Macaca fascicularis: one gene and its partners. The protein of the gene in region 2 interacts with the protein of the main gene of each other region in a pairwise test. Links are inferred from orthologs where the notes say so. Each region holds a gene or a part of one and is shown on either strand. Other genes may lie near its edges. The genes, in order: SHFL, ADAMTSL4, NATD1, APOL6, CFAP206, LMO2 and TOP3B.

Region 1 (4,220 bases), on a different chromosome or scaffold from region 2:
TCTACAAAAAAAAAAAAAAAAAAAAAAAAAAAAAAAAAATTGAAAATTAACCAGGCATAGTGGCATATGCCAGTAATCCCAGATACTTAGGAGGCTGAGGTAGGAGGATTGTTTGAGTCCAGGAGTTCGAGGCTGCAGTGAGCCGTATTCAAACCACTGCATTCCAGCCTGGGCAACAGAGCAAAACCTTGTCTCAAAAGATAAATAAATAAATAAATATCCATCTGGGGGTGTAATTTTAACAGTTTTACCTATAGAGGTGTGCAATGGAGAAAAAAATTTAGAGTCGTTGAACACAATGCTATTTTGCCCCTCAGAGAGTATCTGGCAGTCTCTGGAGACATTTTTTGTAGTCACAACAGGGAGAGTGAGGAGCCACTGGCATCTAGCAGGCAGTGGCCAGGGATGCTGTTAAATGTCCCCCAACACACAGAACAGTCCCCCACACAAAGAACCAGGCAGCCCAAAGTGTCAAGAGTGCTGGGCTTGAGAAGCCCTTGCCCGAAAGCCCCAGACTTAGTCTTGTTTTGGGGGCTCTGCACGGCTGCCTCAACTCCCCACTCTATTCGTCCCCGAGCTAAGACCTCCAATTTCAGTGACTGTACAAAGCATCCCCTCCTCCAATGAAGTAGCCATCTCTGTGTCCCCAGGCTGGGCCAGAGCCCCACCACCTAACGGCTCCCTGATGCGCCCTGTACTGGGTTAGAACTGTCCAGCCCACGGGGTTCTTAACCATTGCAGATTCCCTGGATCCCTGAGACAGCCGGATTCTACCGGGCAACGAGAGACCAAGAATCTGTGTTTTTCTCAAGCACCGCTCCCCACAACCACACACACACTGCCTGCCCCTATCAAGGGCACACAGCAGGTGGCCCAGTGACTAGTTGAGTGCCTACTGCAAGCCAGGCGCTATTACGCGATCCACTCGGGAATCTTGGCATATACTCCACTCCATGGTGTAGACACCAGGATCCTCCCCATTTCACAGAGGGGTAAACTGAGGTTCAGAGAGGTGACCCTAGCTAGGACAGAGACTCAGGGCAGGAAAAGCGCCCAGGTCCTCATGAGCGCCAGATTCCCGGGGAAGGAGGGAGGACAGAGAGGAGGGTGATGAACTGGGGGAGCGCGCGCTGGGTGGGGGGGCGCGGGGCCTCGCCGCGGCCTTCCGATGCGGCCCCGCCCCCACGAGGGACGTGAAGACGCGGACCCCGCGCAGCGTGGGGACATGTGACCGACTGCAGAGGCCGCGCCGCCTCCCCCGCCCGAGGTCTGCGCGCTCCGCCGCAGGGTGCAGACCCGGGGCGACCGCCTGGGTTTGGGGCGCAAGAGCAGAGGCGGAGCCAGGGCGGAGCCAGCGCGCCCGGTCCCCCCTGAATCGAAAGCGAAACAGGGGCTGGGGAGGAAGGGCGGAGCCGGCCCCGAGGCACCGCCCCCTGCCCTGCGCGGCTGCTGGACCGACGGGCGCGCCCAGGTAGGGGGGCGGCTGAACCGCGCAGTGCGGACCCTCGCGGGGACCTGCGCCGCCGCCACCATGTCTCAGGAAGGTGTGGAGGTAAGAGATGGCTACGGCTGGGCCGGGGGCAGACGCGACAGACTCCGAGGAGCGGCCGAGAGGCGCGGAGGGGGCTTCGCAGTTCCTGGGGACCCCCATCCTAGAACCCCAGATCTTTACCCCTGCCTGGCGCTCACCCCCCTTGAAAAGGAAAGTGACTCCCACGTTTCCCCAGAGCGAAATGAGGCCTCTCCGAGGAAAAGCGGGGGCTGCAGGGTCAAAGGTCAGAGGCCAGAGATAACCTGGCCGCCCCCCCACCTTAGGCTGGGACGCTCGCCTCAGTCCGCGCCCTCCCCCAGCGCCATGTGGGGACTTTGGCTTTTTCCAGGAAATGCCGTAGAGGGATGAAAGGGGGGGCGGCGGAGGCCAAAACCAAGGGTCAAGTTCAGGCCGGGAGAACGGTGCCTAGAGATGGGGGAGGGACGATCGCGCTTCCCCTTCGCCCACCGGAACCCCCCTGTCCCCATCCCAGCTGGAGAAGAGCGTCCGGCGCCTCCGGGAGAAGTTTCATGGGAAGGTATCCTCCAAGAAGGCGGGGGCTCTGATGAGGAAATTCGGCAGCGACCACACAGGAGTTGGGCGCTCCATCGTGTACGGTGAGGCTGCTGGGGTCCCGGGCCTGGTGCGGAGACCGCGCGTGGGAGCGCCGAGGGGGCGTGGTCTAGGGAGAGGCGTTGAGATCACCTCCCCCGGAGGTCCCAGCCTCGGGGAGGCTCTGCATCGCGGCTCTGGGTGGCCTGGAACTCCCACAGACCCTTCAAGGGCCCTTCTCTTATACGCACTCTCCCCCGCAGGGGTAAAGCAAAAAGATGGCCAAGAACTAAGTAACGATCTGGATGCCCAGGTAACCTGTCCCCTCCCCTCGCAAAGGACCGGGTCACGGGAGGGACAGCAAGAGGGGGGACCCGACCGGTTCATGGTGACTGACACTTCTCTGAAACAGGAGGGACCAGGCATTGTCGGTCTGTAACTCATCACCCAATATCACTTTTTCACCTCTCTATCGTTTGTCCGGCCAGGGAGCCTGCAAACAGTAGGCGCTCATTATGCGCTGATTGTATTCAAAGGCGGACAGCCATGAAACTAGGCAATGAAAGGAGTCAGGATTATGGCCATCGTGGGGGGGCAGAGATCAGAGAAGACTTCCTGGAGGAGGAGGTACCAAGTCTTAAAGGATGGAGAGGAGTGAGCCCTGGGAGGGGAAAGGGAAAGAAAGGCAGGGGCCTTAGGGTGTGGGAGGGAATGGCATGAGCAAAGGCTGGGAGGTGGGGAAGGGTTGTTAGTGTCAGTCTCTAGAAAGGCTGGGATGAGCAGGGGATTGGGGAGGAGAGAGAGGGAGGGGAAGGGAACCTTTGTGTTGAATGAATGAATGAATGAATGAATGAATGAATGAATGAATGAATGGCTTTGAAGCACAGGTGCATCATGGCTACTTTGCTTCTTCGAAAGCTTTGGTGATGGGAACACTGTGGATTTCGCCTGCCTGAAAGGCTCAGTGTAGGGCTGTTACAGTATAATAGGCCTGGCGCCATGGCTCACGCCTGCGATCCCAACACTTTGGGAGGCTGAGGCGGGCGGATCACCTGAGGTCGGGAGTTCGAGACCAGCCTGACCAACATGGAGAAACCTGTCTCTACTAAAAAATACAAAATTAGCTGGGCATGGTGGCGCATGCCTGTAATCCCAGCTACTCGGGAGGCCGAGGCAGGAGAATCGCTTGAACCTGGAAGGCAGAGGTTGCAGTGAGCCAAGATCACGCCATTGCACTCCAGCCTGGGCAACAAGAGCGAAACTCTGTCTCAAAAAAAAAAAAAAGGCCAGGCGCGGTGGCTCACGCCTGTAATCCCAGCACTTTGGGAGGCCAAAGCGGGCAGATCACGAGGTCAGGAGATTAAGACCATCCTGGCTAACATGGTGAAACCCCATCTCTACTAAAAATACAAAACAACAACAACAACAACAATTAGCCAGGCGTAGTGGCAGGCGCCTGTAGTCCCAGCTACTCAGGAGGCTGAGGCAGGAGAATGGCGTAAACCCGGGAGGCAGAGCTTGCAGTGAGCCAAGATCGCGCCACTGCACTCCAGCCTGGGCAACAGAGCAAGACTCCGTCTCAAAAACAAAACAAAAAACAAAAAAACCCAGAGGATAGTAAAATATGTATCATAGTCTACATTTATACATATAAAAGTATGATAAAAATGATAGCAGAGGGGCCGGGTGCGGTGGCTCACGCCTGTAATCCCAGCATTTTGGGAGGTTGAGGCGGGCAGATCACTTGAGGTCAGGAGCTCGAGATTAGCCTGGCCAACATAGTGAAACCCCGTCTCTACTAAAAATACAAAAAATTAACTGGGCGTGGTGGTGCATGCTTGTAATCCCAGCTACTTGGGAGGCTGAGGCAGAAGAATCACTTGAACCTGGGAGGTGGAGGTTGCAGTCAGCCGAGATCACGCCATTGCACTCCAGCCTGGGCGACAAGAGTGAAACTCCATCTCAAAAATATAATAATAACAATAGCAGAGGGTAGCATTCATTTAGTATTTCCCATATGGCAAGACTCCAGGAATTGATTTATTTCATCGCCACAGTGACCCCAGGAGACAGGTCCTGTTATTTATCCCCATTTCACAGACAAACTGAGGATGAAGTCACTTGCTAGGTTCACGAA
Region 2 (4,117 bases):
TGCAGGGACAGAAGCCTGGTGGTTACCTCTCCAGTGTCCAGAGAGCTTGGGGCTGGGAGGACAGATCAGAGTGGAGGAGGTGGTGAGACTGGCCCACCCCTTTAGGATCCTCAGGGTGGGAGCAGGGAGGATCACTGCCTTGTCCATCTGTAGAGGCTACATGGTCGGGGGCTGACCTCAGCCTTCCAACTAAGGCTCAGTCCCCACCCCTGGGCCCTGTAGGGGCTTCTTAGCTCCTCCCCAAATCCTACCTAGAGACTGTTTCTAGGCCGGCTCAGGCACACACAAACGGCTTTTTTTTTTTTTTTTTTTTTTGAGATGGAGATCTCACTCTGTCATCCAGGCTGGAGTGCAATGGTGCCACCAAAGCTCATTGTAGCCTCAAACTCACAGGCTCTCCTTCCTCCTCAGCCTCCTGAGTAGGTGGGACTACATGCGTGCACCACCACACCCAGCTAATTTTTGTATTTTTTGGTAGAGACGGGATCCAGCTAAATTGCACAGGCTGGTCTCAAACTCCTGGCCTCAAGCGCTTCTCCTGCCTTGGCCTCCCAAAGTGCTGGGATGACAAGTGTGAGCCACCGCACCCAGCCAGAGGGCTCCTTCTAAAATGGTTGTCATCTGCTCCCACTCCTGCCCTCCCAGAGGTGCCTAGAAAGTAGAGGAGGAAGGCTCCACTGAGGATGTGCCAGACACTCTCTCTGAGGATCCACCAGAAGCCCCTTCCTCGGGTCTTCCAGAAACGAGACCTTCCCCAGACATCTCTCTGTCCTACTTGCCTCCTGGCTTTCTCTTCCCTTCTGTGGAAGAGATGTGCGGGAACATCCAGGCACATCTCAGACACTTTTGGCCAAGGGATAAGCTAAATGGGTTGACGGTTTAATCTCTAGAGAAGAAGCCCGCAATGTAACACCCACTCTGGGTGCCAGCATCCAGCACTGGTTCAGTGAGGGCTTGTTTCCTGTGCGGCTCTACCAGCTGGGGAAGCGGGAAGGAGAGGTGCAGCCAGGGCTGCCTCTTGCCCCAGCCACAGGCCTCTCATTCTCAAGAGGCAGGAAGTCCATCTGAAGTTCAGCTTTGAACACTGGAGAAGTGAGGCTTGGAACCCTCCCGAGCCACAAAGCCTGACTCTCCTTGCCCCCTTCTCACTTAGAGGCCTTCCCACCCCTGCTCCTCATCCCACTCTTGGGTCTGCTTTCCAGGAAAAAAAAAAATGTTTCTGTTGGATCTGAAAGGCACCCGGGAAAGGAATCCAGGGAGCCCTCAAATTGCTGAGGTGGGCCAGCTCTGGGGCAGAAAATGACCAAGAGAAGGGAAGGAATGTGCCTGGGGGCAGACACTGCGCCCCACTGCCCTCCCTGAGACCTAGGGCTCATAATTTGAGGGAGGGGTCAGAGTGGCTGAGCCAGAGCGGGCGTGCCTCACGGTTTAGGGTTGGGGAGGGGGTTGCCGATGGCCACTCCTTCCCCTGGCTGGGCCGGCCACTGAGGTCAGCAACTCCGCCCTGACTGAACGGGGGAGGCCAGGGTCTCCAGAGAAGGGCCCATGTTCCACCCAAGTGTTCAGGCTCTGCCTGACTCTGTTACTCTAGCTGAGGGAAGAAGAAAGGGGGTGATGGTCACTGCCGGCCCCTTCTCTGATGCCGACCCCTCTCCATGCCCTCTCTGCCTCTGTTTCTCTCTGCCACCCAGATCTCACCGCCCCTCTCCACGGGTCTACCCAGTACACATAATCCCGTCCCGAGCTGGGTTTGGCCTTGGCAGTTCCCTGGAGAAGTGAGGGGTGGGGGTGACGTGAGCTCCTGGGGCCCGGGCCAGGCCTGGCTCCCTCTCTGGAAAAGTCCCACCCCACCCTCCCCTGCGCAGCCCGGCAGGGGCCCATGCCCCCTCCTCTGCAGAAACACACGCACATTTGTGCTTCTCACCCCTTTCCATGTGCCTCATTTGGTGTCGTTCACGGCCCAGGACGGGGAAAGGAGAGGTCAGAGGTTGGTGCCAGAATAGACCCTGGTCTGGACAAATGTGGGCTCCTCCGGACCACACCTCTCCACACTGCCCAGTGAAAACCAAGGAACAGAGACCTGAGCAGGGCTCACCCCTTCACCCCCAGGTCTCCCTGCTGGAGAGTGTGGCTCGACCCTATGTTTCTGGAATAGCCACAGAGAATCCCTGTCCTGAGTCCGAATTCCCTGGCCCTCATGGAGCCCTCCACTCCTGGGTCTGGCAGGCCACCCCAACAGGTGTCTTTCTTTTTTGTCAACCTCTTCTGTCATCGGACTGAACTGGATCAAGGGCACCCACCTGCGTCCCTCGCGGCGACCCTGTCCTCCAACTCCAGGAGTTGCAGTAGGGGGGCGGGAGGCACACCGTCCGAGAGCACCCTCCTAGGGAGAGGGCAGGAGGCGCTGCCCGCGCGGGGAGGTCGTGGGTCTGTTTTCCAACTTCGCTGTGTGACTTAGGAGGAATTTTGGCTCACTCCTCGCCCGGGTGATGGGGCCAGAGTTCCACGGGATCAGACCCCCTCCCCAGGAATTCGACCCCAGGGGCTGGAAGATCGTCCGAGGCCACCGGAGCTGGGGCCGGGGTCGTGGCGGGGGCGCGACCGACCGCACAGCGCAGGGAGAGGGGACGACGCGGGCGCGCGGGGCTGGTGGTCTAACGGGACCCGGGAGAGGGGCGGCCGGGGCCGGGGTCTCGGGGAGGTCTCTACCTGCTCTGCGCGCCCCGGTGGCCCGTTAACCCTTCTGCACCCGGACGCTCTCTACAGGCAGCCTCGCTCCGCGGCGGCCACTGCGGCCCCTGAGCCGCTCTCCGGACACCGCCGCCTCGGCCGCGACTCCGCCCTCGCGCCCGCCCCCGCCCCGCCCGCCACGCGCCCCAGCCCGCGCCCCTTGGCGGTCCCGGGGTGGGGACGGTCGGCCTCGCAGTCCCGCTCGCCAGGACCACCCACCCCGGGCTGCGCGCCGGGCGCCCCCGGTCGGCTGCGTGAGCAGAAGCCCGGGCGGGCCCAGCCGGGGTCGGAGGCTGCGGTCGCTCCCGGGCGCTGTCCTCGTGTCCGGCTGGGATTAGGGACTTAAGCAGCCCGGGCCTCCGAGTGGCTCGGGTGAGCGGTGCGAGAGCGGCGCGGCGCGGGCGGCCTCCAGGGGCGCCTGGAGCTAGGCGGCCTGGGAGAGCCGCTGGTCCGGGAGGGCGGCGCCCTGGACGGAGGTGCCCGCGGCCCCGGATCCGCGTGGGTCCAGGCTCTCTCCTCCACGCAGCCTCACCTGCAAGCTCAGTCACTCCTAGCTCTCCCGTGTTGGGCAGTGAACCCTGTGGTTCTGATTGCTGGGACTTCTATGAGCTTCGGTTTTTCCCTCAGTAAGGTTTTACACTCGGGACTCAGCGGAAGGACAACGTGCTGACTTCTGAGTCAGAGTGACCTGGTTTTGAATCTCAGCTCCAGCACTTGCCGGCTGTGTGGTCTTCCACAAATACTTCCACCTCTGTGTGGTGCAGTTTGCTCATCTGCAAAATGGGACTAATCTAATATATGGGATGGACTTGGATATGTCTCTTTATTTATATATGGAAGAATGCACCCCAAACTCAGTAGTATTGGTGACATCTGGGGAGGGGTTCAGGGTTGGAGGAGAACTGAAAAAGGCTTTTGCTTTTTACTCTGTGTTATGTTTATTATTATTATTCGAGACGGAGTCTCTCTCTTTCGCCCAGGCTGGAGTGCAGTGGCACGATCTTGACTCACTGCAAGCTCCGCCTCCCGGGTTCACGCCATTCTCCTGCCCCAGCCTCCCCCGTAGCCGGGTCTACAGGCGCCCACCACCACGCCCGGCTAATTTTTTGTATTTTTAGTATTTTGTATTTTTGTATTTTTATATTTTTATAAAATATATTTATAGTATATATTTATACTATTTTTTATACAAATATTTTTACAAAAATTTTATACAAATTTTATATACAAAATATATTTATAGTATTTTGTATTTTTAGTAGAGACGTTTCACCGTGTTAGCCAGGATGGTCTCGATCTCCTGACCTCGTGATCCGCCCGTCTCAGCCTCCCAAAGTGTTGGGATTACAGGCGTGAGCCACCGTGCCCGGCCTCTTGTTATTAATAT
Region 3 (3,500 bases), on a different chromosome or scaffold from region 2:
CCCAGGGCCAAGAAGCAGGCTGGACTGGCCACCAGGGCCACCGTCTCCTCTGAGGGAGGGTGGCAGCCCCCACGTCCCCGCTCCCACCTGGCCCTGCCGCCTGCCTACCCTACCTTGGCGAGGTGCTTGGCGATGCCGCGCCCACGGTAGGCATCTGGGACCTCGGTGTGCTGCAGGTCCACGATCCGCTTGCCCACGTACTCATAGAGCAGGACGGCCCGGTCATGACATCCTGGGGGTTGTGGAGACAAGTAAGCCTATGCTGACTCCCATCACAGTGGACTCAGGTGCAGAGACTGGGGTGGAGGGACAGGCATTGGGGGCCATTCAACTGCTACAGCTAAATCCTGAATAACCTCTCGGCGCCTCAGTCCCCTCATCCATAAAGTGGGGATACAATAAAATGTCCTTCATAGGCTGGTTTGGAAAATTAAATGAGGTAACCTCTGTGACATGCTTACAGCAGTGCTTAGAACACCTGAACCTCTGCTACTACGTCAGTCTTAGCATCCCAGAGCCCTACCACCCCTTCTGTAGCCCTGCTCTCTGCATCCCCACCCCACCACACCCCCGGATCTGGCCCCAGGACCCAGCATTGGACACAGAACAGGGCTCAGCAAATCTGCGACTAAGGCAGAGCATGAAGAGACAAGAGAGGCAGCGCTGTGCCACGCATCAGGACCACCTGCTGGACCCTGACCGAGATGCAGCAGGCAAGATCAGAGGCCCGTGGCAGAGTCCATGACGCTGGACACGGGAGACAGTAACAAATGCGTCTTCACACTCCACCAGGCCTGCCAGGCCTGGAGCTCACCAGTCCACCCCAAACTCCTGCTGGGCAAACAATGAACTGAAGTTTTTTCCTAACCACAGTTTTCAGTGTCTCATCTGTTTGCCTCTCCACCTACCCATCCATCCATCGACCCACCCATCCACTTATCCATCCACCAAATGTTTCCTGAGCCCCAGGTACTGTTTCAGATGCTGGGAATATAGCAGCAAACAAGCCAGACAAGGAGTCCTACCTCCATGAAACCCAAACGGGAGGAAGAATAAACATGAAAAGCAAGTGGATGTGTAGGATGCCAGGGAATGGGGGCAGGTGAAGACAGGAAGGAGAGGGCACCAGCCATTCTGAGGGAACGGTGTTCTGGGCAGAGGGAACAGCCATTGCAAAGGCTCTGAGGCGGGAGTGGGCCTGAATGAGGGGCAGCTGGAGTGGGGTGGGTGAGGGGAAGGGCAGAGATGGGGGCAGGGAGGTGATAGGGCAGGTCCTGCAGAGCCTCCTAAGCATTCTGAGCTGGGCGCCACTGGAAGCCCCTCAGCAAAGGGACGGATGCGATTCACGGATTCTGCTGCCACTGTGGGGAGAACGGATGGGGAGCAGGGGCAGGGAGCCCAGAGGGTGAAGACAGAACACAGACCAGGGCGGGGGCAGTGTGGCTGTGTGGAGCAGTGTTTTGACTGGATGGTATCTGAAAGTGTAGCCAGCAGGATTTACTGATGGCTCGGATGTGGTCGAGCAGGGAAAGGGGAGCCTAGGACAACACTGAGGTTTCTAGTTTCAGGGAGCGCCAAGTGTGTGAATGAAATAAACAAGCTGGGAGGGGGCCGTCAGGGAGGCCCCTCCAATGGAGGGGAAGTCACCGTGCCCAGCTCAGTGGCCCTCCGTCTCTCCTTTGATTCTCCCCAAAGCCTCTGAGTTGAGAGGGGAGTGCCGGGAAGGTGGTGCAGGGGCATGGCCAGGGCAGAGGTTCCAAGGTGGGAGACTCAACACGCTGGCACTTTCTCCACTCTTTAAAAGCACGCTGTGTTTCACGTGCTTTAACTTCAAAGCCCCAGAGAATCTGCCCCTAAAGCCTGCGCTGGGTGACACGAGGGGAAGGCTGACGGGCCAAGAGGTCCAACCACTAGTCCAGGGCCACCGGAACTGGGGCCAACGGCAGCAAGGAGGCTTTCTGGCCCTTGGTCTCTCCTTTGATTCTCCCCAAAGCCTCAGGAGATGGCTACAATTCATCTCCCCATTTCCAGAGGAGGAACTACTGAGATCCAGGGATCCAAGTCACACAGCAGGCCGAGATGACGCTGGAGCCCAGGCCCGCAGGTCCTGAGCCACAGCCATTCTTTCTGCTCCACCAACACACCTGCTACTTCCTGCACCCGCCATCGCCTAGGCATTTCCCTCTGACCGATGCCCTTTCCCCGTTCCCGCCAGGCCCAGCTGAGGGTTCCCCAGCCCCACTCCCCTCATGCCTGCAGCCCCGCCCCCGCACCGGCCCTGCTGCCTCCTCCTTGTGGGCCTGACTGTCCTTCTGTGGACTGTGCCTGCCACCCTGGCCAAGGCCCAGCTGTGGCCACTGCCGCCTGTCCTGGCTACACAGCAAGGGATGTGGTTCTTGGCTCCCCACCTGCTGGGGTTAATTCAACTCACCCAGGACAGGCGAGCAGAGAGAGGAGGCTATTTTGAGACTGACCCGGTCACCAAGGGAGCTGCCTACCTAACCTGGCCATTTAATTACCCCAGGCTCATTAAGGGCCTGCTATGTTCCAGCAGTGTTTGGGCTGCAGGGCAGGCAGCAGTGAACAAAACTGATGAAATTCTTCCTCATGGATCTTACCTACTGAGGAAGACACATAATAAGTAATATAATCATAAATAATACAGGGGCCGGGCACGGTGACTCATGCCTGTAATCCCAGCACTTCAGGAGGCAGAGGTAGGAGGATCGCTTGAGCCCAGGAGCTGGAGACCAACCTGGGCAACATGATGACCCAGTCTCTACAAAAATAAAAATAAAAGTTGGCCAGGCACAGTGACCCACTCCTATAATCCCAGCACTTTGAGAGGCCAAGGCGGGCGGATCACCTGAGGTCAGGAGTTCGAGACCAGCCTGGCCAACATGGTGAAAGCCCATCTCTACTAAAGATACAGAAATTAGCTGGGCGTGGTAGCGGGTACTTGTAATCCCAGCTACTTGGGAAGCTGAAGCAGGAGAATCACTTGAACCCGGGAAGCGGAGACTGCAGTGAGCCGAGACCGCACCATCGCACTCCAGCCTGGGCAACAAGAGCAAAACTCCATCTAAAAAAAAAAAAAAAAAAAAGGGTAGCTGAGCATGGTGGTACACACCTATGGTCCCAGCTATTTGGGAGGCTGAGACGGGAGGATCACTTGAGCCCAGGAGTTTGGGGCTGCAGTGAGATATGATTGTATCACTGCACTCCAGCCTGGGTGAGAATGAGACCCTGTCTGTAAATACATACATACATACATCACAGGTGATAAGCTGACAGGTGCCAAGGATCACTACACAGCAGAGGAGGGGTGGGTGGGGAGGGGCAGGGCTGCCACTGTAAAGAGGGCATACAGGGACCCCAAAGGAGATGTGGGGTATGAGCCATCCACTGGCGAGAACAGCATGTGCAAAGGCCCTGGGATAGGAGGTTGAAGGAAGAGCAAGGATGCCAGAGTGGCTGGGCCCGAACAAGCCGGGGGTGAG
Region 4 (4,161 bases), on a different chromosome or scaffold from region 2:
ATTCTTATAGCCATTCATTTTCTAATTGTTTGAATACAAGTTTATGGTTGAAAATTTAGAAATAGATTATAAAATCCACCTGTACACTCACCACATGGAAATAAAAACTAGTGACATTTTATTTTACAAACCAAAAATTTAAATGAATGCTGTTCATGTAGTTTGTGTGAATTCTTGTCACTTAACATTGTATCATTGGGGCTGGGCACGGTGGCTCAAGCCTGTAATCCCAGCACTTTGGGAGGCCGAAACGGGTGGATCACAAGGTCAGGAGATCAAGACCATCCTGGCTAACACAGTGAAACCCCGTCTGTACTAAAAAATACAAAAAACTAGCTGGGCGAGGTGGCGGGCGCCTGTAGTCCCAGCTACTCGGAAGGTTGAGGCAGGAGAATGGCGTGAACCCGGGAGGCGGAGCTTGCAGTGAGCTGAGATCCGGCCACCGCACTCCAGCCTGGGCGACAGAGCGAGACTCCGTCTCAAAAAAAAAAAAAAAAAAACATTGTATGGTAGTAGTTCCCCAGGTGATATATAGAAACCGTGTCGCATTTCATTATACGAATGTATCACTACACATTCAGTAACTTTCTCGCTGTTGAAACTTTGGGTTGTTTTCAGTTATTTTAAAAGTTTGTATTTATAATTTTTGGTTAAAATCCTTATATAGATGTGTGTCTACATGTTTGTTTATTTCTTTGGGGCAGTCTATGAAAAAGAATTAATGCGTCAAAGATAAAAACGTTCTCCCCACTCTGGGATGTGAAGCTCGGTTTGGTTTGAGGGGCTTGGCACCTTTAAGGACTTACTTTCGCCAGACATACATCTACCTGCTTTACGGTGACCCTGTGAAATCGATGCTAAGATTATGCCCATTTTACAGATGTGCAAACTGAGACATAGGGAGGCCAGTGTTACACAGTAAGCAGGAGAGCCTGTACGATTCCAGCCACGCTGAGTCTGGAGTGGTCGGTCCCAAGCAGGGTACATTTGCTCCTCAGGGACGTTGCTAATATCTGGAGACATTTTTGATGGTCTCAGCTGGAGAGGGTATGTAGTGGGCAGATGCCGGGGATGCTGCCAAGCACCCTACAATGCACAGGACGGCCCCCACAACCAGGGATCACCTGGTTAAACATGACAAGGGTGCCGGGGGTGAGAGACCCTGGTCTGGAACCCCATTTTTCACCAGAGTCCCCCAGTACCTCTCCCATTTTTTTTTTACATTAGTCCTATGGGATGCAGGGCAAAGGTAACAGCAGGAAACTCATCTGAGCAGATCCCATTCCCTCCCCTCTGACCTGCTCTCGGTGGTTGTGAGATGAGAGTTGTATTGGGAGAGGATTTGAGACATTATTTTCATTTGAAAGCTTATAGGATATTTATGACAGTCTTTCCTTACCTGCCTTCCCCCACAAAACCAGCTTCTTCAGATACACAATCTAAGTAAGAAAAGTCTGCTTACTTTGAAAACACAGCTTCAAGATAATCTCCCAATTTTTTTTTTTTTTTTTTTTTGAGACAGGGTCTCACTCTGCTGCCCAGGCTGGAGTGCAGTGGTGTGATCACTGCTCACTGCATTCTTGATTTTCTGGGTTCAAGTGATCCTTCCACCTCAGCAACCCCCTATCCACCCAGTAGCTGGGACTACAGGTGTGCACCATCACGCCCAGCTAATTTTTGATTTTTTTAGAGACAGGATCTCACTATGTTGCCCACGCTGGTCTCAAACTCTTGGGCTCAAACAAGACACTTGCCTTAGCCTCCCAAAGTGCTGGGATTACAGGTATGAGCCACTGCGCCTGGCCTAGTCACCCTAATATTTATCACAAACTCCCTCACCCTCTTCCTTTTTTTTTTTTTTTTTTTTTTTTGAGACGGAGTCTTGCTCTGTCGCCCAGACTGGAGTGCAGTGGCGCGATCTCCACTCACTGCAAGCTCCGCCTCCCCGGGTTCCCGCCATTCTCCTGCCTCAGCCTCCTGAGTAGCTGGGACTACAGGCGCCCGCCACCACGCCTGGCTAATTTTTTGTATTTTTAGTAGAGACAGGATTTCACCGTGTTAGCCAGGACGGTCTCGATCTCCTGACCTCGTGATCCGCCCGTCTCGGCCTCCTAAGGTGCTGGGATTACAGGCGTGAGCCACCGCGCCCAGCTGAAATCACCTGCTTTCTAACTGCCAGATCACCTCTGCTTAAGCCCTTGGATCCCCAGCAGTGGAGGGGCAAATGCAGCTTGGCTAGTCACATCACATGCTTTATCACGTTTTGATTTAACCCTCAAATGGCTGTAAGGGACAGAAACCTACCGGGTTTAACATAGGAGAAATTGATCCTCAGACTCTCCCCATGCTCTGGCTGGCATTTGAACCCCGCTGCTTGGACAGCAGCTCTTTCTCCTGAGTCAGGTGCCTAAAGCTAACCCCTTGGGGGCTTTGTCCTTCAGGGACTAGAGCAGCAGCCCCCTTCTCCCCCAACTTCTGCCTGCCATCTCACCTTCTCTCCACGGAGCTCTCCTTTGTGGCCTCGGGTCCCGAGGGAGAGGAAGATCCTGAACCTCTGTCCTTGACTCTCCGAGGCCCCCGGTCCTGCAGGAGGCTGTGAGCGTCTGGGCTGGAGAAAGACTGTAGGGTGGCTTTTGAACAGGAATTGATTGCAAAACTGGTTTCTGTTAAGTGCTGCAGGAATAAAAAAAGCGAAACTCTCGGGCTCTTCCAGGAAATCATGGGCTCCAGCTGTGCACTTTCATTTTCCTTTTTGCCTGTTTCTCTAACTGCATGCACAACAAGATGAAAGAGCAGAATCAAAGTCAGAAGGCCTGAGTCTCTCGTCTCTGTCCTGGCTGTGTTATAGGATGGACCTATATGGGGTATGAAAATAGCTCCTGTGGCTTAGAGCTATGGTGAGGAGCCCATGAGCAAGCGATGGGGCACCTGATGAATAGTGGATTCACAGTAGCGATCATCACTGATTGTTCTGAAACTGCTTCCCTCCACAGCATCTTGATGTGGATAACAGCCCTATGAGGTGCACGGCCGGCATTTAAGGGCTAATAACTCTGAAATGCAGAATCCTCTGAAAATGGAAACTTTTTTATTTTATTTTTTATTTTATTTTTGAGATGAAGTCTTGCTCTGTTGCCCAGGCTGGAGTGCAATGGCACGATCTCGGCTCACTGCAACCTCCGCCTCCTGGGTTCAAGCTATTCCCCTGTCTCAGCCTCCCCAGTAGCTGAGATTACCTGCGCCTGCCACCACGCCTGGCTAATTTTTGTATTTTTAGTAGAGATGGGGTTTTATGTTGGCCAGGCTGGTCTCAAACTCCTGACCTCAAGTGATCCACCCACCTCAGCCTCCCAAAGTGCTGGGATTATAGGTGTGAGCCACTGCACCCGGCCTGAAAACAAAAACTTAAAAAAAATAAATAATTTATTCATTTAGTGGCAAAACCTGACCTGATCTGGCATGAATTCACTTATGGTTTTTATGTCTCTTGCTTAATTTGAATATTCACTGTCACTGCAAAAATATTAATGTGTTTGACTGAGGAGGGCTGCTGGGGGTGGGTGGGTTACATAGTACGTGATACCTGAACCCCATTACTTTTCTAAAAATTAATTGGGAACTCTGACATGCATATGGCCTCAAGGATTGGAGATACAGGATGTGATACTCTGTCTCCCACTTTAAGGAAGAGGAAACTCAGGCTTCTAGAAGTTAGTGATTACACAGCTAAGAACCAGTCCTAGGCGCTGTGTCTGCAAGAATGAGCCCACAGTGTGGTTACCGGCTGAGATCTGTGTCTCTCTAGCATTTCTGTCAAGTTGTGATCAGAAGTCACGTGGTTTGCAGAAATCCCCAGTCACCACCCCTAGCTGAGGCCACACTGGGTGCTGTTGCTTTGCAGAAGGCGTGGCCCACCTAGCCAGTCCTGCCTTTGCGACGATGGAGGCCACCTCCTCTCCCTTGGCCCTACGAGCAAGAATGAGGGGTTAAGCGCTGCTGAGTTGGGTCCTGTAGGGGCCTTTCCAACCCTGGCATCCCAGATTCCACAAGCCAGCCCTGCTGTGGCCTCCCACACTTGGAGAACACTCTAAACACAGCCTGACCTTGAAGACAACTTGGCTGCCTGGCTGGGGTCGCTGAGCCATCCCAGGCCTGCCTGCT
Region 5 (4,284 bases), on a different chromosome or scaffold from region 2:
ATCGCTTGAGCCCAGGAGTTCGAGACCCGCCAGGGCAATATGGTGAAACTCTGTCTCAACAGAAAATTGTTTTGAAAATTAGTCAGGTGTGGTAACACACGCCTGTGGTCCCAGCTACTCAGGAGGCTGAGGTAGGACTGCTTTAGCTCAGGAAGTTGAGGCTGTGGTGAGCTGTGATTATATCACTGCATTCCAGCCTAGGTGACAGAGCAAGGTCCTGTCTCAAAAAAAAAAAAAAAAAAGAAAGAAAGAGAAAAAAACATCACGTGGACCTTTGCTCCAATTGTTCCAAATTAGTAAGGTTTGTTACGTATCAGTTTAATCTATGGTAACATTTAATAGCTAATAAAGCTGAAAATATTGATTAGGTTTTAAGTTTGTAATGTTTAACACTAAATATGGTTTAGAAATAGACTTCTATTCCAGTAATAATCTTATAATATATTTCTATCTAAATGTTATAATTTCAATCTTAATGCTGACAAACTTTTTCTAACAAATAAAAGATAAATGGACAGTTTTATTTTTCAACAGAATGAAAACTGTATTACAGAAAACAGTTTGATAAAATGTGGGAACCCAATAAACATACAACCAATGAATATGCCACCCCACAAAATTAATTTTTATAGATGTTAATATACCTTTAAGTACTTGCTAGTGTTCATAATTGAGTAGCATCTACTTTAAAACGTTGTTTCTAATTAGGTTTCATCCACAGCTCTAGTTAAATTCACCTTGACCTCATCGGTGATTTCACTCTTTCCTCCACGAAGACCAGCCAGGTAAATCTGAGGCCTGGGCACCCCAGTGCTGTCTTCCCTCATGGACTGGGTGCTAGTGTCCTTTGGAGGGTACACCTGGGAACAATTTTCTCTTCTCAAGTGACTGAGATCAGTTTGTACTGAGTGAGTAACTTTCTGGTGCAAATTAGCCTAAAGAGAAAGAGAATACAGGAATTAACATTTCTCTAAAGAACAAATAACCTGAAATATTATCAGATACCAGTTAATATCTGCCTATTTTTGTCTTCAATCCACAAGAAATTAATTCCATAACATAGCATTTTTTCTATAAAACACTGGAAAATCTAGAACATAACAGAAAATTAAATATCCCTTACCAAGAAGTAGAAAAATATGTAAAATGTTGAAAATTGACCTCAAAAAACATACAGATTCAAAATTACAGTGAACTCAACCAGTTATTTGTTAATATAATCTAATTCCTTCATTATTATACTTTGAGATTCTTATAACTTGGATTTTTCCACTATATTTTTTTTGACAAAAATTTAAGATTTATATACAGTATTATCTTTTAAAAATGGGCTTCACCCTAGATTTTTAACATAAAAGAGTCTGATGCTTTCCATTTGTATTTTACAGTATTCTACATTTTGCTTACTCCCTTTATAGATTACTAGTAAATGTGAGGTTAAACAGATTACTCAGGCTGGGAAGCAAGGAGGAGCTTATAAAAAGAAGAATAAGGTTGCTGCGGTTATAGTAAAGGCCAAGAAAAACCTTAGAAGGCATTATAGCATGTGAGTGAAGAAGGAGACACCTGGAATTAGAGGAAACATTTTCAGAGTTTGAGATACTGCAGATGACTGAGAACCGAAACTACTCCCCAACACCCAGGTTATTGTCCACATTAATAAGACTTTACTATTCCACTGTCTTCATTAGCATAATTTTACCATTCCAAGAGACTCTTGCCTAAGCAAATAACTTGATTGCTCATTCAGTACTACCTCAAAGATGTGTCAACTCTTCAGTAGTAAGCATCGGCACACAGTTTCAGTCCTAAGAGTCTGCATCCCTTGCCTCAAAAAATCTTCTTGCTATTCCCACCAATGCTGGACTGCTTTTTCATGATCCTTACCCAATCCGATTCAAACCTCCATCCTACCCCCAGTCCACCTCAGTCATTGGAAGACCTGCCTTAGCAAACTTCAAATTCTCAATAAATTCTGACTTTGCAGTTCCTCTTCTGAGACACTGCCAAAGCACTGTTGAGGTGGTGTTTTCCCTTATGGCTATAAGCAGTAAACTCAGCTTTGTCTTATCCACAGGTTGGGTAGGTGACACTTGGGGAGCTGGCATTCAATATAATACAGTTCTAGGGAATAATAAGGCCCAAGGTGAGAGTCAGAATTAAGTGGAGATTGAGGAATGGGAAGAGAGGGCTCAGTCAGTGTGAAGTTCAGACCCCTGAATACTCCATTCTCTTAACATTTCCAGTCCATACCTATGTTGCCACCTCTATCTCTCATATCCTATCCAGCCATCATTTCCCTCCTCCTCTTTGCCTATTTGTATCTCAAAAGCAACCTAAAATATCACCTATGTTAATTTAGTAGAATTTTCATTTCATTTCTGTTACACCACTTACAAGGAGGTACTGAAATATTTTTAATGTAACAATATCACTTGCTAGACAATTAGCCCATGAAGAACAAAGTCGTGGGATATATATGTTACCTAATAAGTCTGATGAACTCAAGTGAGTTTAGTAGATAATAGAAAATAATATGGGGATTGGGCATTTCTTGAACTACAGAAGAGTAACTGATAGGAAGGAATACTAATGGAACAATGATCTGGAAGATATATAGGGAAACTGATCCTTCCTCATGCCAGGAAACTGAAAAGTTGCCACCAGAGTGAGTAGCAAAGGAAATAATGTGGTCAATGGGAAGCCTGTGAGAGACTGAATATACAAATGGACAAAGGCTAGACCATATGTGACAATAGAACTCCTTAACTTGCAGCCTCTGTATCGACCAGTCGGGGAAGCCAGTCTCAACCTCTGTAGCTGTAGCAATTGACCCAGAATGTTGAGGACTTAGCCAGCTTCTCCATGTTTTGGATCCTTCTCCCCCAACTCAGGACCAACCAGAGAAACCTAGATATGCTCACCAAACCAATCACATAAAATGCCCTGCTTCTAGTTAGCCTGCCTCCAGTTTTCTCATGTTAACAACCTACAATCAGAGAACACCTAAAGGCTTCCCCCTTTTCTGACTATAAAGCTTTCCTACTCCTCTGCATGCTTTCAGTCTACCAAACAACAAGTGACAGTGTCTGACTCCCTTGCTATAGCAAGCTCTAAATAAATAGCCTCCCTTTGTTCACATTTGGGTAGGCATTTTATTTCCACACCTGATTTCAGTTAAAGAGATGGATAAAATATACTAAAAAGGGGCTACAGACATAAAAGATTTTATTTTTTCCATACTATAAATATTCATTGTTTAAAATGACAAGATACTATAAAGAGGGGTTGGTGGGGGGAATTTCACTGAATTGGACAGGGATGAGAGTTTCGAAGACAGGCTTTAAGGGTAGGTATATTGTAATTAAGGTGACTGAGAATCAGAAGGATGAGAGTGCTCAGGGTCTGGAGATAATACGTTGTTCAGAGGAAAATATCTATGCTTTAATAGAAAAGGTCCAAAAAACAAAAAAAAAAAAGAATGGTATACCTTAAGTGATTAAAGGAAGTTGGGAGTGCTTTAAATACTAGCACCAAGTTTTAAAACTGATGACAGATAGATAGATAGATAGATAGATAGATAGATAGATAGATAGATAATTACCATTGTTCTACATATGCTTAAAATTAGAAGACAATCTTATAATGTAAACCTAGCAAATTATAAATTATATTTTTGTTAGCAAAGAACACACTGTATAAAACTCGTTATTTTATATAAATAATTTACCAACTCTTTAACAACAGATTAAAATTCCCCAACATATAATTTTAGAAAATATTGTTACAAACCAATTTTATAGCTTTTCTTCTTAATTCCCATTCATTCCACTCATATGATCTCACAATTGTTGGTGGCAGTATGTGTGTATCCGTCTGTGTGCTACTTTCACATTTTGTAATTGGTTTTATATAATGTTTGTCAGCATCTCTCATCTAAAGAAGTGGAGTTTTGTAATTAGTGCTTGGAAAAAATAAACATTATTTACCGATAACTAAAATATTTAGCTAAAACTGACAAAACACTTAAAAAACAAGAATTTTTGGACATGGAATATACTTGTAAATACCAATAAAGAAAATAAGCACATAATTAATGAGCTGAATATAATTGTTTTTCTGGGAATTACGGCTTCATGATTTTGTTTATGTAGGGGGTATTTATTTTTAACTTTCATTTTAGATTCAGGGGGGCACATGTGCAGGTTTGTTACAACGGTATATCACACGATGCTGAGATTTGTGGTAGGATTGAACCCATCACCCAGGCAGTGAGCTCAGTAC
Region 6 (4,137 bases), on a different chromosome or scaffold from region 2:
AAAGGACTGTGAAAGAGGATAATTTGCCCTTAGCTGGTGCAAAACTGCCTGGAATTCAAATGAACTGCTCTTGTTACTCACAGGGGAGGCAGTGGGGGCCACCAGTGGCATAGCAAGGGAATCTCTGTGTTCATGAATTCTGGCTGGCTTTCTGTCCAAATGTTTCATTTGCATATAGCTAGGCAAGTCTCCATCTGTAATTTGGAGATGCTGATTGTAATGACCCAAGTCGGCTTTGAGGAAGTACACAATGAAGCATCTAGTAGGATACTGGACAACAGGAGGAACGTAAAGTAAAAGAGTTATGGTGATGGCCTGAGATGAGATGGAGAAGTAAAGTATAAGATATTGGCTCTGTCTTTCTATAATTAATTGATAATATCACATTATACTTAGTGGGCAATCCAAGACAATGAATGAGGTTGATTCACCCTCAAATTAATATTTTATATTCTCCCAGACCCTTATCTTGAATATTACACCTGAGTATCACTTCAGCCTGGATTTCTGGGATAATCATAACAATTTCTAAGGGGGTGGAGAATGTGCTGCTGCAATTTCTCAACTAGCTTGTCCCTCTTTGATCAGAAACTATCTTCGCTGGGCAAATAGTGAAGTGAAGGAAGGAGCTGGTGAGCCTCCAGCAGTAGATACCTGCTGTGTTAGGAAGTTAGGATGTTTCAGTTTTCTAACCTCAGTGAAAAAGCACAAACTTTGAAAGACGCAAACTTCCTTCAGGGAAATGAAACCTTCAGATTTACCTTCTATTGAAAGGATTAGTGACTAAATTCTGCTGATCAAAAAGGCATGAGGCACCAATTCATCCAATTCACTCCCTTATTGTGTTACTATGATCTTGCCCAGTCTCTGAAACTCAAAGCTCAGTTGTAATTTTAAGTTTATTTTTAAAAAAGTGATCAAACCACCCTTTAAACCCATTGTTGACATAAACATACTTTTAAAAAGAAATGTTATTTTTCTCCTGAGAATTTGTTGAAGGAAGTGGGGGTTTTTGCTACAACAAACCTAGCTCATTACAGAACTGGTGTCTTAACCTTCAAGACGGAATAGTGATGTTTATATTCTCATTGGATGGTGGTACTTCCTGTGTTTTATGAGAACATGCTGAGCTTTTATGCTGCTAACTGAGGGTAAAACCCAGGTAAATAAACACCATAGAAAGCCGAAATTGAAGGGTGTATGTGTGTGTGTGTGCGGTATTTCAAGCAGGAAAGCACAATTCTTTTAAACCAGGAAAAGAAAAAACAAAACAAATGTCTCTTAAAAGCACAAATGGACAAGTCATTAACCAGCTCCTTTGGTCTTGTGTAACAAATCCCTTCAAAGGATTAGAGGGGGACTTCAAAGGAATAAAAATTCTCAAAACCAGACAGCTAATGACTCTTAAAAGGGCATTTGCGTTGACAGGAAAATGATATCTTAAACACCCCTTGCTACCCATGTTAACACTAAAGAATTGGTGAGAGATAGAAAAACATTCCAAACCAGTACGAGGCTCAGAAAACAGATGCGGTCAATGCTCATTAGAGCTCTGGTTCCCTGACCCCAAACGCTTTTGAGACTATGCTAAAAACTACGAGACTCTACTCCCTAGAAGAATTCACCTGTACACAAAATGGTGCATTAACTTTCGAGGTTCACAGGCCCCCATCGGTGGACCCCGAGGAGGGCTACACGTACTCAGATTTACTCCGGATTTCGCTGCTCTAGAAATCCCCGGAGGCCCAGAGCCAGCTCCGAGGTGGACCGTCGGACCCCTCACCCGCCCGTTACCCGCGCGGCTGGCAGCGGCTCCACCTGCGGACCGGGGAGGCGGCCGCTGGGGACCCTGGAGGCCTCCACTTGGAATGTTCCCCTTTCCAAGACCAAATGGACAAAGAGAAAGGGCCGAGAAGGAGAGGTGAGAAGGGAGCCGAGTCAAGCATGGAACGCTCTCCGGACTGCACCTGCACGCCGCCAGGCTCCCCTTGTGCCTGCTCCCGTGCAAACTTTCTGGCCCGCGGTGGCTTTAGGCAGCGTCCTGATAGCCTGGAGTGGCCCGCAGAGGCGCCGAGCCGACCCCTCTCCCTGCCGCCCACCGCCCAGTCCCTCTCCCAGCGCCCCCGAAGTCACCCGGGAGGAAGAGGGAGCCCAGCGCTCCGCACAGGGGGCCAAGAGCACGCCGCAGGCGCGCACCTGGAGTCCCCTCGAGGGCCGCCCGGGTCCCCCAGCCGCTCCGGGACGCGAGGCCGTGGACACCGGGGGTGGCAGGGGCAGGGGCGCCGCACTTACTCTGAAGGGTCCAGGCTCTTCCTTTCGATGGCCGAGGACATTGGGGAGGGAGGCGGCGTGCCGGGCGGCAGGGGCGCTCCCTTTGTGGCGCGGGGCTGGCCGGCTGCCGGGGCTCGGACCCCCTCGGGTGCTCGGGCGCCGCCGCCGCCGCTCCTGCGCCTCCGCTTGCTCCGGCGCTCCGGCGGCGAGCTCGCCCCTCCGCGCTCAAGGACAGTCACCGCGCTCCCTTCAAATGCCAAAGAGAGAGAGCGAATCACCGGGCTGCGGGCGCGCCGCGGCCGAGGCGGGGGCCGGGGCGCGCAGCCTGGCCCTGGGCGGCTGCAGCTGCTGCTGCTGCTCAGGACTTAACCTTCCATCCCGGTCCCGCCGCCTCCGCCGCCCGGTCCCTCTCGCGCGCTGTCGCCGGCTCCGCGCCGCCCGCGGGGATGGTGCACGCCCGCCCGGCCGCCCCGAGCCCCTCGCACCTTCGGCCCGGGTAGCGGGCGCTGCTCGCCGCGGAGGGCAGAACGGGGGCGGCGGCCTGGGGGCGGGGAGGGGACTGTGCGTCTCTCCCCGGGCTTCCTCCTCTCTCGGGAAGGTCTATTTTCGCTCAGCTTCCCTCTGTCTCTGGTTTCATTTCCTTTTTCCTGATCACGATTCAAATACAATAGAAGGAAATCACATTTAAAGAGACAGCTGCCCGGTTCCCCCACCTCCCCTTTTTTCTTCTTCTTCTTCTTTTTTTTTTTTTTTTTTTTTTAACGGGGCTCCTGGGGATTAGCAATACAAACAGCAGCATCAGGACTGACTTGGCTTCTTAAAGGGGCCAGTGTCGGGGACGGGGAGATCCGCTCAGCTAACACCTCTCCTTGGAGAGGAGGCTGGGCAGCCACTAAATAATTCTTCAGGGCTTCCCCCCTTCAGCCTTTCCCTTTTGGTTTAACTAAGGCAGAAAGTAACCCACGAACAGCTCGAGCAAGCAAGAAAAAACAAGAATGTGAAATAAGCACCTACAGAAATGCAAGTGTTCCGAGTGGATTTTGAGCCCGTCCCAGGTTCGAGATCCCAGGTCCACGGACGCCGAGCACCGGGATGCCCCGGACAGCGCGGCTCTGCGGGCTACCGGCTGCGGGCTCCAGGCTGCGGCCGCGCTCTGCAGAGGCGATGGGGGTGCGCGAGCCGGGACTGCACGGGCTGGGGACGCCTGAGCAGAGTCAGGGCAGCTAATCCCAGAGGGAGGGTGGCTGGGAGGGACTTCGTGGGGCCAGGGCTCCTCTCAGTAGGCTGGTGTCGGAATCCCCTCCCTCAGCACCTTTCAGAGAGCGGACTCCTGCGGTTAAACTGCCCCCCATGTAAAGTGCCAGTAGTACCCCGACCAGAGAAAGTGTTTTTTCCAGTGATCCAGAACAGTATTAGGGAGATTATTTTGCCCTGGGTCAGGCACAGAGAAAGAAGGCGGACTTGATTTGGGGTTTCAGGCTTCCCCTCTCAGCCTCCTTCTAGAAAGAGGTAGGAACACAGAGGGTAAGAGAGGGGAGGCCAATAGTCTGCCCTTCCATGGAGAAAACGTTTGTCTCTCCTGGGCCTCAGAGGTCCTTGAAAATATCTGCGTTCAGAAACTGAAAGGCCTATTTGTGCGTGATGCCAGTCACTAAGGCTTGCAAAGAGGGAACGTACTTTCAGGATCCATAGTTTTATATGATCAGTCTGGATCATAGGCATACATTTTTGTTCCCATTTTCAAGATGGCACATGGGCCTGGATGAGCTCACCCTGAAAGATGGTAGTTGAAGTCAGAAGTGAATCCCTGAGTGCTTCATTTTCCCTGTTCAGAGCCAAAGCTTCATGACTTGTTACAAGTATAAC
Region 7 (3,500 bases), on a different chromosome or scaffold from region 2:
GTGAGAGAAAACCTGGAAGATTGAAGAGTCAGAAGGGCTGCAGATGGAAATCCTACAGAAGCCGGCATCCGCCAAGCTACAGGGATGGCAAGTGGGGCCCGTCCCAGGGGAAGTGCCACTCCTTGCTGTGGGGAAGGCTGCTGCCTGCACCTGCTAGTATTGCTACCTCTTCTGCTTTTTCAAGAGAAGCTGGAAGGCAGAATTTTCGTATGGAATCTCATAATTTTTAAGTGCTGGTAACTATTCTGGAATTTGTGTAAACACCATACAGGTTAGTGGAGTGTATCCGTGAGCTGTGCTTGGTTGGGGTCCTACCACTCTCTACCTCTGCTGAACACTTGTTGGAAGAGACAACTCTTTGTTTTGCCTGTGGCAAAAACAATCCAAACAACTCAACCCCAGGCCCTTGCCCTTGTCAATCCCAAGGAGGCTGGTCATGGCAATGCCCTCTGCATTCCAGACCGACAGATGTGGGTGGTAACACAGAGGCCAGTTGTTACGTGCAGCAGTGAAGCTGGGCTCCCTGGCATGAGGCCTGGAGGTGGTAACAGTGTCTTTGCAGGAATGTGATCAATGCTGACAGCCTGGAGCAGCTTTAGAAGTCTCAGATGCCTGAGACGTGGCATGGCAGGCAACAGGGCACTCAAGGAACGCCGGAGAAGGACAAGGAGAAGGTGGCTAAGTAGGCCAGGCTGTGTTTCAATGGATCTGGTAGCTGTCACACCTGTAGCATGTTTACTTCAATAGCCACAGATGTGGCCCCACCTGTGCAGCCCAGTCACCTCGCCCTTTTCCTAACAGCCAAGCAGCATGTCCTTTCAATTCATGGAAACCCTGAGTAAGAAACATAATCCCATAAAAGCATGCAAGCTGATTGAAATTGGAATCCCAAGCCTATCCCCTGCTAGCTGTGACCTTGGACAAGTTCATCAATTTGCACGCAGGTCCCTCAACAGTTGTTAGCTTGAATCTCTGTGTGAGATGGAGTCCTGCCACACAGAGGTAATGCCTAGTGGGTCACGCGGAAAGGGGAGGGTGGAAGGGGTCTGACAAGGTCACAGGCGTGGAGAGTGCTTGGTATGGAGCGGGCATGCAGTACACTGTGGCTATTGCATCGGGCAGAAATATCTTAGGAGTATATGGGGGAGTAAGCTTTCGGCTTTCCAAAAAGATGTCTGTGTTTTAGAAAGGGGGACGAAGACATGGCCTAGGATCACAGGCTGTTCCTCCAGCAGGAGGCATCCAAGGGCCACCCTCACCCAAGGCAACTGTGGTAGGTGTGGGTGGAGCAGGCGCACCTGGGCTTCCTTCTCCAGCTTTGTCATGTTTAGAAACATCTGTGCAATCTCCCGGTCAAACACTCTTACTCGGTCCCAGTCCAAAAGGAGACATCTGTCTTTGTCAGTGTTAACCTGCAGGAAAAAGCATAAAGGGTGAACGCACAAGAAAAAGTCTCTAGGTGAACCCAAAGCCAGGAAGAACCAGGACAGATGAAGCTGTTCCTTGTCTGGGAGCAAAACAGCCCTGGCTCTAATGGCTCACAGCTGCACCTGTTCAGGCGGGCAGATACGCAAGCTGACATCTGGCCCTCTCCACCCCGTGCCCTGAAACCAGGCAGTCAGTCTCAGGAAGGCAGCCCAAAGCTGAGGCTGATGTGTCCTTAAGAAGCACATGAGCCCCTACTTCTCACACCACCCCTGCCTATCCCCAGTGCCTGGCCAGTGGTAGGTATGGCCACCACCGGGGTCCCAAGCCAGAGCAGCTCCAAGACAGGGTCTCACTGTGTTGCTAGGCTGGAGTGCGGTGGCACAATCGTAGCTCACTGTAGCCCTGGACTCCCGGCCTCAAGCAATCCTTTTGCCTCAGCCTCCCAGGCTGTTGGGATTACAGACATCAGTGACTGTGCCTAGCTGTATTAAGTCTTACAGTGAGCTTCCGTGGAGGTTTTTATTTGAAGAAAGGGTTCCAGGAATTTTAAAAAGTTTGAAAGTCAATGGCCTCAGTCCAGTGCTTGGACCTGACCACTGCAGCCACTGTGATTCATGTGAGGTGACCTCACCCTGCACTGCCAGAGCTGAACTCGTTCCCCCTTATCCAGATTCAGCACATACAGGCCCAATCTCTTCCCACTATCCCCATGAAGGCTGGGGTCCCTCAGCCCTGGGCACCACAGACCACTTCCAGGTATACCTGTCCACGCTTCTGCCCTCAGCCTGGGGCCTGCCAGCTGATGATGATGGAAGACTCTCAGAATCCGTGCCCCAAACCCAGAAAGCCCCAGCATGCATAGAGAAAGGCAAGGAACCTTGGCCTGCAGCACCCAGTAGGTCTCTGGTTTGAAGGACTGGATTTTATCATGTCTCTCCACACAGAATCCCAGGGTTGGAGTCTGACACGGCCCAAAGGAGATGAGAGAGCTGTCTAAATCACCGTATTTCCCCTGGAAATATTTAGTCTGAAACCTGGAGGGAGTGGAGAGAAAGGTATTTTGGTCACTGATTCACTCAAGACACTATTATGGCCACCCATGTGAGTCCAGCCCAAGGCCAGGGGTGGTGCGTGAGGGAGGTGGCACCAGGTGGTGTCCCCGCTTAGAAGTCAGTGGGAGCAGAGTGGGCATAGCCTTAGGGAGGATTCATGTGTGTACATGGGTGACAGAGCCAGTGAGAGAGTAGACAGAGGTTTCTACTGTCTCGGGCCAGGGAGCCTTCTATTCTATTCTATCTACCGCACACTCTCCTCAGGACCCCCAAAGCACAGACAAACACACTTTATCGAGCAGGGCATAGGTGATCTCTGTCAGCTAAATAAACAGTTTTCTTTAGGTCTTTTTGGTTTTTGTAGAGACAGGGTCTTGCTGTGTTGCCCAGCAGGAATGCATTAATGGGGATTCACAGATCATTGCAGCCTTGAACTCCTAGGCTCAAGTGATCCTCCCACGTCAGCCTCCCAAGTAACTGGGACTACAGGCTCACGCCACCACACCCAGCTAATTAAAACAAAATGCTTGGACAGGCACAGTGGCTCATACCTGTAATCCCAGCACTTTGGGAGGCTGAGGCAGGCGGATCACCTGAGGTCAGGAGTTTGAGACCAGCCTGGCCAACATGGTGAAACCCCATCTCTACTGAAAGTATAAAAATTAGCCAGGAGTGGTGGCGAATGCCTGTAATCCCAGCTAGTCGGGAGGCTGAGGCATCAGAATCACTTGAATGCAGGAGGCAGAGGTCGCAGTGAGCCGAGATTGTGCCACTGCACTCCAGCCTGGGTGACAGAGTGAGACTCTGTCTCAAAAAACAAACAAACAAAAAAATAAATTTTTGTTTAGCCTGGGCGCAGTGGCTCCCAACTGTAATTCCAGCACTTTGGGAGGCCAAGGTGGGCGGATTGCTAGAGCTCAGGAGTTTCAGACCAGCCTGGGCAATACAGTGAAACCCTGTCTCTACAAAATACACAAAAATTAGCCAGGCATAGTGGTGCATACCTGTAGCACCTGTAGT

Evidence for each region.
Region 1: the proteins of ADAMTSL4 (region 2) and SHFL interact in binary tests that used the Homo sapiens proteins (3 or more experiments, as listed by UniProt). The two-hybrid records come from large-scale screens. The link is inferred for Macaca fascicularis from reciprocal best matches to the Homo sapiens genes ADAMTSL4 and SHFL.
Region 3: the proteins of ADAMTSL4 (region 2) and NATD1 interact in binary tests that used the Homo sapiens proteins (3 or more experiments, as listed by UniProt). The two-hybrid records come from large-scale screens. The link is inferred for Macaca fascicularis from reciprocal best matches to the Homo sapiens genes ADAMTSL4 and NATD1.
Region 4: the proteins of ADAMTSL4 (region 2) and APOL6 interact in binary tests that used the Homo sapiens proteins (3 or more experiments, as listed by UniProt). The two-hybrid records come from large-scale screens. The link is inferred for Macaca fascicularis from reciprocal best matches to the Homo sapiens genes ADAMTSL4 and APOL6.
Region 5: the proteins of ADAMTSL4 (region 2) and CFAP206 interact in binary tests that used the Homo sapiens proteins (3 or more experiments, as listed by UniProt). The two-hybrid records come from large-scale screens. The link is inferred for Macaca fascicularis from reciprocal best matches to the Homo sapiens genes ADAMTSL4 and CFAP206.
Region 6: the proteins of ADAMTSL4 (region 2) and LMO2 interact in binary tests that used the Homo sapiens proteins (3 or more experiments, as listed by UniProt). The two-hybrid records come from large-scale screens. The link is inferred for Macaca fascicularis from reciprocal best matches to the Homo sapiens genes ADAMTSL4 and LMO2.
Region 7: the proteins of ADAMTSL4 (region 2) and TOP3B interact in binary tests that used the Homo sapiens proteins (3 or more experiments, as listed by UniProt). The two-hybrid records come from large-scale screens. The link is inferred for Macaca fascicularis from reciprocal best matches to the Homo sapiens genes ADAMTSL4 and TOP3B.

Annotation. Positions count from the first base shown.
Region 1 is NC_088393.1:10,631,531-10,635,750, forward strand, and holds the start of SHFL (shiftless antiviral inhibitor of ribosomal frameshifting protein), read left to right. Parts: upstream 1-1,420; 5' UTR 1,421-1,531; coding exon 1,532-1,552; intron 1,553-2,024; coding exon 2,025-2,148; intron 2,149-2,346; coding exon 2,347-2,396; intron 2,397-2,571; coding exon of another isoform or gene 2,572-2,710; intron 2,711-4,220.
Region 2 is NC_088375.1:110,701,468-110,705,584, forward strand, and holds the start of ADAMTSL4 (ADAMTS-like protein 4), read right to left. Parts: upstream 2,801-4,117; 5' UTR 2,710-2,800; intron 2,454-2,709; exon of another isoform or gene 2,301-2,453; intron 2,052-2,300; exon of another isoform or gene 1,912-2,051; coding exon of another isoform or gene 1,697-1,911; intron 1,696-1,696; coding exon of another isoform or gene 1,586-1,695; intron 1,584-1,585; coding exon of another isoform or gene 1,420-1,583; intron 1,418-1,419; coding exon of another isoform or gene 1,219-1,417; intron 1,217-1,218; coding exon of another isoform or gene 1,146-1,216; exon of another isoform or gene 1,011-1,145; intron 53-1,010; exon of another isoform or gene 1-52. UniProt on the Homo sapiens protein: Positive regulation of apoptosis. May facilitate FBN1 microfibril biogenesis.
Region 3 is NC_088390.1:20,671,312-20,674,811, forward strand, and holds part of NATD1 (protein NATD1), read right to left. Parts: intron 233-3,500; coding exon 114-232; intron 1-113.
Region 4 is NC_088384.1:16,023,175-16,027,335, forward strand, and holds the start of APOL6 (apolipoprotein L6), read right to left. Parts: upstream 2,801-4,161; 5' UTR 2,722-2,800; coding exon 2,492-2,721; intron 1-2,491. UniProt on the Homo sapiens protein: May affect the movement of lipids in the cytoplasm or allow the binding of lipids to organelles.
Region 5 is NC_088378.1:87,849,811-87,854,094, forward strand, and holds the end of CFAP206 (cilia- and flagella-associated protein 206), read right to left. Parts: intron 3,937-4,284; coding exon 3,793-3,936; intron 936-3,792; coding exon 705-935; 3' UTR 501-704; downstream 1-500. UniProt on the Homo sapiens protein: Essential for sperm motility and is involved in the regulation of the beating frequency of motile cilia on the epithelial cells of the respiratory tract. Required for the establishment of radial spokes in sperm flagella.
Region 6 is NC_088388.1:31,709,443-31,713,579, reverse strand, and holds the start of LMO2 (rhombotin-2), read right to left. Parts: upstream 2,801-4,137; 5' UTR 2,649-2,800; coding exon 2,642-2,648; intron 2,519-2,641; coding exon 2,293-2,518; intron 1-2,292. UniProt on the Homo sapiens protein: Acts with TAL1/SCL to regulate red blood cell development. Also acts with LDB1 to maintain erythroid precursors in an immature state.
Region 7 is NC_088384.1:31,160,359-31,163,858, reverse strand, and holds part of TOP3B (DNA topoisomerase 3-beta-1), read right to left. Parts: intron 2,463-3,500; coding exon 2,306-2,462; intron 1,413-2,305; coding exon 1,299-1,412; intron 1-1,298. UniProt on the Homo sapiens protein: Releases the supercoiling and torsional tension of DNA introduced during the DNA replication and transcription by transiently cleaving and rejoining one strand of the DNA duplex.